2 linked regions of the Oryctolagus cuniculus genome follow. The protein of the gene in region 2 purifies or fractionates together with the protein of the main gene of each other region. This does not show direct contact. Links are inferred from orthologs where the notes say so. Each region holds a gene or a part of one and is shown on either strand. Other genes may lie near its edges.

Region 1 (3,811 bases), on a different chromosome or scaffold from region 2:
CTGAAATCTAGAGTAGTTATAAATAATCTGCATAATATAAGGGGACATCAAAAAGTTTGTGGGGCCAGCGCCGTGGCTCAATAGGCTAATCCTCCACCTTGCGGCGCCGGCACACCAGGTTCTAGTCCCGGTCGGGGCGCCGGATTCTGTCCCGGTTGCCCCTCTTCCAGGCCAGCTCTCTGCTATGGCCAGGGAGTGCAGTGGAGGATGGCCCAGGTGCTTGGGCCCTGCACCCCATGGGAGACCAGGAAAAGCACCAGGATCCTGGCTCCTGCCATCAGATCAGCGCGGTGCGCCGGCTGCCGTGGCGGCCATTGGAGGGTGAACCAATGGCAAAGGAAGACCTTTCTCTCTGTCTCTCTCTCTCTCACTGTCCACTCTGCCTGTCAAAAATAAAAAAATAAAAAAATAAAAAAAATTAAAAAAAAGTTTGTGAAAAATAGAATTAAAAGACAAATAATAAAGATTTAAAATAAGTTTTATTTTTTAATACAAGCTTCACCAAGTTCACGACAGTTTTGTTAAATAATGTTATATGTCATTTAGACCATCCCTAAAGAACTAAAAGGTCTGGGAACTTAACTATGTCAATGCTGTGTTTTACAATTTTAACTAAAGAAAAATGGGACCTTTAGAGGTCCCTTAAGAGCAGGAAATAGGATGGCATTGTAGCACAGCAGATTAAGCCACTGCCTGCGACACCAGTATCCCATATGGGCATTGGTTCAAGTCCTAACTGCTCCTTTTCCAAACCAGTTCCCTCCTTATGTGACTGGGAAAGCAGAAAATGGCCTAACACTTGGGCCCCTGTACCCATGTGGGAGACTTAGATGAAGCTCCAGGCTCCTGGCATCAGCCTGGTCCAGCCCTTGCTATTGCAGTCATGTGGAGAGTAAACCAACAGATGGAAGATCTCTTTCTGTCTGTCTCCCCTTCTCTTTCTGTAAATCTACCTGCAAATAAATCTTAAAAAAAAAAAAAAAAAAAAAAAAAAAGAAGAGAAGTTTGAAGGAGCCAAATCAGGACTTTGAGGTGGATGCCTAAGATTTCCCAGCAAAATTCTTGCAAAAGTGCTCTTATTTTAAGAGGAATGAGCAGAAGCATTGCAGTGGTTGAGAAGGATCCTGGTAGAGCTTTCCCAGGTTATTTTTGCTAATGTTTTAGGTAAATTTCTCAAAAATTCTCCCTAATGAGCAAATGTTAACTGGTCTTTGGCCCTCCAAAAAGTCAACAAGCAAAATGTCTTGAGCATTTCCCAGAATTTCTACCATGACCTTTGCTCCAATTGGTCCATGTTTCTCTTCACTGAATTTCTTCTACCTCTTGGTATCTACTGCTTTGATTGGGCTTTGTCTTCAAGACAAAAATCATATTGTTAAAATTATGTTTCATCTCCATTGCAGTTCTTCATAGAAATCCTTCAGGATCGTCATCCTATTTGTTTAAAGTTCCTTTAAAAGTTTTTTCTTGTCTGTAGCTGATCTCTGTATCCCAACAGTTTTGTATTCAGGGAACAGTGTCTGCTCTACTTTCTCAGTCACAATTGTGTAAGCTGAAGCAACTAAGGTATCTATAGTGTTGGCTACTGTTTCTGCTGTTACTGATCACTGGTCCTCTTTAATTATGGCATAAACAAGATTAAGTTTTTCCTCACAAATTGATATGGGTGGTCAGCAGCTGCAGGCTTCACCTTCAAAAGTCTCAGTCCTCCTTTTTCTTAAAAAAAAAAAAAAAATGGATTTCATTTATTTGCAAGGCAGAGTTGGACGGAGAAAAATCTTCTATCTACTGGTTCACTCCCCAAATGGCCACAATGGCCAAGCCAAAGCCAGGAACCAGCAACTCCATCCATGTGGGTGGCAGGGGCCCAAGTACTTGGGCCATCTTCCGCTGCTTTCCCAGATGCATTAGCAAGGAGCTGGATCAAAAGTGGGGCAGCTGGGTCTCAAATCAGTGCCCATATGAGATGCCAGCATTGTAGAAAGTGCCTCAATCAGCAGTGCCACATGCTGGCCCCTCAGTCTTCCTTAAAATGCATTATCCATTAATAAATTACTGATTTCTTTGAGGCACTGTCCCCATAAGCCTTTTGTAAAGCATCAACTATTTCATTATTCTTTCACCTAAGTTCTACAATAACTTGATGCTTGTTCTTGCTTCAATTGTAGAACTCGTTTTGCCCTGATAGGGGCTCTTTCCAAACTCATGCCTTATCCTTCTCAAACCAGATCCTGTTCAGACTTGTTATAGCAAGTTAGTACAAGTTTATTTTGGTACAAAAAATTATTTGAAAACCATGCACATTTTTCCATAACACACATTTTTCACAAACATTCCGAAGATGCCTCACACACTATGGTGTCTATATGGCTCTGAAAAGATCTCAAAAACAGCCAAACAAGTTCTTGGGATTTTTTTATAACTTTTCAAGGACTTACCTCTAGAGCCTGCATTCGTTTCAACAGCATTTTATTTTCATTGTTCTTAATCTTTTCTTCATAAAATTCCAGAAATGTTTTTTTGTAGACTAGCTTCATATTATACTTCTTCACCATTCTGTCCAGAAAAGATTACTTAATGAAAAGGATTCTAAAATGTTTGTAATTCTTCATTTTTGTACAACAGTGACATCTTCTGGGCTGAAACTAAAAAGCTATCATTTCCTCCATGAATTCCGAGAGTAATGCAAAACAAATTAAGAGTAACATAGCGGCCGGCGCCGTGGCTCAATAGGCTAATCCTCCACCTTGCGGCGCCGGCACACCGGGTTCTAGTCCCGGTTGGGGCGCCGGATTCTGTCCCGGTTGCCCCTCTTCCAGGCCAGCTCTCTGCTATGGCCAGGGAGTGCAGTGGAGGATGGCCCAGGTGCTTGGGCCCTGCACCCCATGGGAGACCAGGAAAAGCACCTGGCTCCTGGCTCCTGCCAGGATCAGCGCGGTGCGCCGGCTGCAGCGGCGGCCATTGGAGGGTGAACCAACGGCAAAGGAAGACCTTTCTCTCTCTGTCTCTCTCTCTCACTGTCCACTCTGCCTGTCAAAAAAAAAAAAAAAAAAAAAAAAAAAAAAAAAAAAAAAAAAAGAGTAACATAGCAACAACCACGCCTGTAAAGAAATATACATTCTAAATTACAGACAGCTCTATTAGCTACCAAATAGGTCATGAGTAAAAAAGTATTTCAAGGGCTGTGAGATGGGGAAAAAGAGCTAAAGAGAACAGTTTTGTACTGATTCCATTTTATTTTATTTGATCCTTCATAGCAGCATTAAAAAGGGCCGCCAACCTCATTCTTAAAAGATTCACTTTAATCTCCTGGATTTTTTGTCAATTATTTTTCAAATTTATTCATTTGAAAGCAGAGAGAGACTGATCAAGCTAGCTCCCATCCCTTGTTCACTTTTCAAATGCCTACAAAAGTCAGAGACTGGCCAGGCCTAAACCAGAAGCTGGGAATTCAGTTCAGGTCTCCCAGATGGATGGCAGGGATACAAGTACTTCAGCCATCACCTGCTGCCTTGCAGGGTGCACATGAGAAGGAAGCTGGAATGAGAAGTGGAGCTGGGCCTCGAACTCAAGCACTCCAAAGTGGGGTGTGTTATCCCAACTGCTGTGCCAAAACCTGCCTCAAAACTCGTCTCATTTTTACCATACACCTTAGGCTGCTTCTTTGTTTTGCCAGTTTCTTTATTAACAAACTTCTAAATTTTAGAGTATTAATACTGATGGGATAGGGAAAGAGAAACACCAGTGGCCACTGGGACTTAGAGGCATATATAAAAACAGGATTCTCAGTTGCTCGAATCAGATCTCCCTA
Region 2 (4,599 bases):
TGATTCAGCTTCATGCTAATGTATCCTAAGAGGCAATAGATGATGGCTCAAATGCTTTGGTCTCTGCCACTCACATGGAAGAGCCAGATGTAGTTCTGAGTTCCTAGCCCAGTCCCAGCTGTTGTAGCCATTTAGGGAATGAACCATTGGGTAGAAGATACTTCTCTCTCTCTACCTCTCAAGTAGATGAAAATAAACATTTTTAAAAATGGTTGAAGTAGTCAATTTCACTACAACAAAAAAAATTTTTTTTGACAGGCAGAGTGGACAGTAAGGGACAGAGAAAGGTCTTCCTTTTCCATTGGTTCACCCCACAATGGCTGCTGCGGCTGGTGCGCTGCAGCTGGTGCACCGTGCTGATCCGAAGCCAGGAGCCAGGTGCTTCTCCTGGTCTCCCATGCGGGTGCAGGGCCCAAGGACCTGGGCCATCCTCCACTGCACTCCCGGGCCACAGCAGAGAGCTGGCCTGGAAGAGGAGTAACCAGGACAGAATCCGGTGCCCCAACCGGGACTAGAACCCGGTGTGCTGGCACCGCAGGTGGAGGATTAGCCTATTGAGCCGTGGCACTGGCCAAAAAAATTTTTTTAAAGATTTATTTATTTATTTGAAAGTCAGAATTACAAAGAGAGAGGAGAAGCAGAGAGAGAAGTCTTCTATCCAATGGTTCACTTCTATCCAATGGTTGGCTGCAACGGCTGGAGCTGTGCCGATCCAAAGCCAGAAGCCAGGAACTTCTTTCGGGTCTCCCATGCAGGTGCATGGGCCCAACGACTTGGGCCATCTTCCACTGCTTTCCCAGGCCACAGCAGAGAGCTGGATTGGAAGTGGAGCAGCCGGGTCTCAAACTGGCGCCATATGGGATGCCGGCACTTTAGGCCAGGGTGTTAACCTGCTGTGCCACAGCGCCGGCCCTTAAAAAAAATTTTAACTGCAGTGCACCTCTTTCAATTAAATCTGATTCAGAGTGGGCCTTTGTCACTTGTGAAGATGCCAGATGGGATGCCTAGGTTCAAATCCAGGTACTACCTCTGATCCATCTTTCCTTAATAATGTGCACCCTGGGAAGCAGTAGGCAATGGTCAAGTATTTGGGTCCCTGCCATTCACATGTGACACTAACAGTGAATTCCCAGCCGTGGCCTTGCCCAGCCCTGGTTGTTGTGGTTATTTGGGGTGTGAACCAGCAGACTGGAGATTTGTCTCTCTGCCTTTCAGATAAATAAAAATATATTTTTTAAATTAAAAAAAATTTGTCATAGAATCCCAATGTGGGGGTGGGCACTATGATGCAGTGGTTTAAGCCACTACTTTGGGACACTCTCACCCCATATCAGAGGGCATGGGATCAGTACTACCTCTGCTTCTGATCCAGCTTCCTGCTCATGTGCATAATGGGAGGCAGGAGCAGATGATGGCTCAAGTTGTTGGGTCCCTGCCACCCATGAAGGAGACCAGATGCGACACCTGGCTTCTGGATTTAGCCTGGCCCAGCCCTGGCTATTGTGCGAATTTGGGGAGTGAACCACTAGATGGAAGATCTCTGTCTCCACTGTCTTTCAAATAAATAAAAACAGAGACATTTACAAATTATAAAACGAAAGAATCTCAATGTGTAAAACCAGATAAAAGTGATGCTGACAGTGTTGAAGCATGGGGAGAAGGGCCTGAAGCCTCACCAACTTGGTTCTCCCTTGATCAGTATTTCCAGTCCTCTCAACCTGTAATCTGAAACAGTGAATAAAAGTATTGCAAAACGGATGAAAAGTAAGTTTTTTAGATACACTGAAAGGGAAAACTAATACTGCCTTTTTCTGGAGGTGTAAGGGTGACTGTGACAACAGAGTTTGAAAAGTAATCTCTGGCTGGTGCCACGGCTCACTAGGCTAATCCTCCACCTTGCGGCGCCGGCACACCAGGTTCTAGTCTCAGTTGGGGCGCCGGATTCTGTCCCGGTTGCCCCTCTTCCAGGCCAGCTCTCTGCTGTGGCCAGGGAGTGCAATGGAGGATGGCCCAAGTGCTTGGGCCCTGCACCCCATGGGAGACCAGGAGAAGCACCTGGCTCCTGGCTCCTGCCATCGGATCAGCGCGGTGCGCCGGCCACAGCGCGCCGGCCGCGGCGGCCATTGGAGGGTGAACCAACGGCAAAGGAAGACCTTTCTCTCTGTCTTTCTCTGTCACTGTCCACTCTGTCAAAAAAAAAAAAAAAAAAAAAAAAAGTAATCTCTGAAAGATAACATTTGGCCTGGTTCTTCAAGCAGGCGTTGACTTTGGGAATGGAAATGGATCAAGAAAGCACATAGTGAAGGAGTGAAGGAGGAAAAGTAGTCTACAAGGGCATCAGGTTGAAAGAAAAGTAAAACTTGAAGTTAAAGAGAACAGGCTGAATCCATCTCTGAGGAAATCAAGAGGATTTGTTGTTTAAATAGGGGGGGGGGGATAAGTGGATTAAGCTCCTGTTTGGAATGCCCACATTCCAAATCAGAGTGCCAGTTTATGTCCTAGGTACTCTGTTTCTGATTCAGCTTCCTGCTAATGTATTCTGGGAAGCAACAGACAATGGCTTATGTGCTTGGTTCCCTGTTATCTATGTGGGAGACCCATATGGACCTTCAGTCCAGCCCAGCTCTGGCTGTTGTGGGCATTTGGGGAGTGAACCAGCAGATGGAACTTCTCTCTCTGCATTTCAAAAAAGAGGCCCAGCTTAAGGAAGAAATAAATAAATGCCAAGGGATTCAAGTGACCATCCTTTAGGTCCTGATTATCCTTGTGCCTGGAGACTAACAGGCGGAGCACAGATTCCTGAACATAACATTGTGAACGCCTCTACCCTGTTACCTGACGCATGATTTTTCATGAATAACATTGTGAACGCCTCTACCCTGGTACCTGACACGTGGTTTTTCATGAGTCTGAACCTGGAGTCTCCCAGAGGCTTTCCCAACCTTCGAGCAGAGTTGACAGCAAAGTTGGAATGAAAACCAGGCTGTGATTTAGTCACCATGGTGACAAGAAACTATCACAAATACTTGCTTATGACCTCACTGGAAAAGCAGGCAAGGGAGGGAGTGTGAAAGGAACATCTGCAGAAAAGCACATGTGGAATCGACCAAAAGAAGACTGGGTTATCTTTCATGGATCCAGCAGTACAGGGACTTTTTCCATGGTACAATCCCTTACTTGCTGGGGTTGGATCTAGAAAATCCACATCAAAAATCTTTTCTGTCTTAGATAGCTTTGGGTTTTCTTAGTCAAGGAACTCAATCAAAGGTCACTGAAGTTATACCTCTTATTTCTAGGGAATATATGGAATACATATCTAATGCTGCCAAGCATTTTCTAAGCTTTTAGAACCATGGGAGTAGCAACAAGAAGACAAAATAGGTATGGACCCTGAAATGGCTGAGCTACTGTAGTCTTGCTAAATTCATACGATGAAGCCCTAACCCCCAGTACCTCAGAAGGTAATTATTCTTTTCATTAAAGCCCTTAAAGAGGCAAATAAGGTTACAGAGGTCATTGCTAATCCAGTACCTACTATCTTTATGAAGGAAAACACCAAGTAAATATGCAGACAGCTACCCAGAGGCTAAGGAGAGAGGTCTTAGAAGAAACCAACCCTGCTGACACCTTAACCTTAGACTTCCAGCCCCAGAACTGTGAGAAAATAAAGCACCCAGTCTGTGGTGTTTTGTTATGGTAGCCCTAGCAAACTAAACAAAACAAAACAAAACAGAGAACAGGTAACACATGAGTCCCAAATTGCTATAGTGCTCCATTTAATTACCGGTATGTCTTAAAAATGTGAAATTCTTAAGATTTTTTTTTTTTTTTTTTTTGACAGGCAGAGTGGACAGTGAGAGAGAGAGACAGAGAGAAAGGTCTTCCTTTGCCGTTGGTTCACCCTCCAATGGCTGCCGCGGCCAGCACGCTGCGGCCGGCGCACCGCGCTGATCCGATGGCAGGAGCCAGGAGCCAGGAGCCAGGTGCTTTTCCTGGTCTTCCATGGGGTGCAGGGCCCAAGGACTTGGGCCATCCTCCACTGCACTCCCTGGCCACAGCAGAGAGCTGGCCTGGAAGAGGGGCAACCGGGACAGAATCCGGCGCCCTGACCGGGACTAGAACCCGGTGTGCCGGCGCTGCTAGGCGGAGGATTAGCCTAGTGAGCCGCGGCGCCGGCCAATTCTTAAGATTTTTAACATGCATTTTCTCAGAAAAACATTTCACAAATAACCCAGCTACTGTGAGTATCGGTTAAGAATGATGTCATTACACCTTCAAGCTCACAAATATGAGTATACTTCCAAAAACTAATGAGAAAATGGAGGGCTGGTGTTGTGGTACAGCAGGTTAATCTGCTGTCTGCAATGCTGGCATCCCATATGGGTTCTTACTGCCCCACTTTCAATCCAGCTTCCTGTTAATGTACCTGAGAAAGCAAAAGAGGATGGCCCAAGTACTTACGCTCCTGCCTCCCTTGAGACATAGATAAGTTCCTGGCTCCAGCCTGGCCCAGTCCTAGCTGTTGCAGCCATTTAGGGAATGAACCAACGGATGGAAGATCTATCCCATCTCTCCCGCTCTCTCTGTAACCTTGTTTTT

Evidence for each region.
Region 1: the proteins of KPNA6 (region 2) and RNMT purify together in Homo sapiens (co-immunoprecipitation; 3 studies listed by BioGRID and IntAct, counting the BioPlex papers as one, with this or other methods). This does not show direct contact. The link is inferred for Oryctolagus cuniculus from reciprocal best matches to the Homo sapiens genes KPNA6 and RNMT.

The regions. Positions count from the first base shown.
Region 1 is NC_091441.1:70,605,573-70,609,383, reverse strand, and holds part of RNMT (mRNA cap guanine-N7 methyltransferase), read right to left. Parts: intron 3,102-3,811; coding exon of another isoform or gene 3,091-3,101; intron 2,712-3,090; coding exon of another isoform or gene 2,590-2,711; exon of another isoform or gene 2,557-2,589; coding exon 2,439-2,556; intron 1-2,438. UniProt on the Homo sapiens protein: Catalytic subunit of the mRNA-capping methyltransferase RNMT:RAMAC complex that methylates the N7 position of the added guanosine to the 5'-cap structure of mRNAs. Binds RNA containing 5'-terminal GpppC.
Region 2 is NC_091438.1:140,306,958-140,311,556, forward strand, and holds the start of KPNA6 (importin subunit alpha-7), read right to left. Parts: upstream 3,017-4,599; 5' UTR 3,002-3,016; coding exon 2,836-3,001; intron 1-2,835. UniProt on the Homo sapiens protein: Functions in nuclear protein import as an adapter protein for nuclear receptor KPNB1. Binds specifically and directly to substrates containing either a simple or bipartite NLS motif.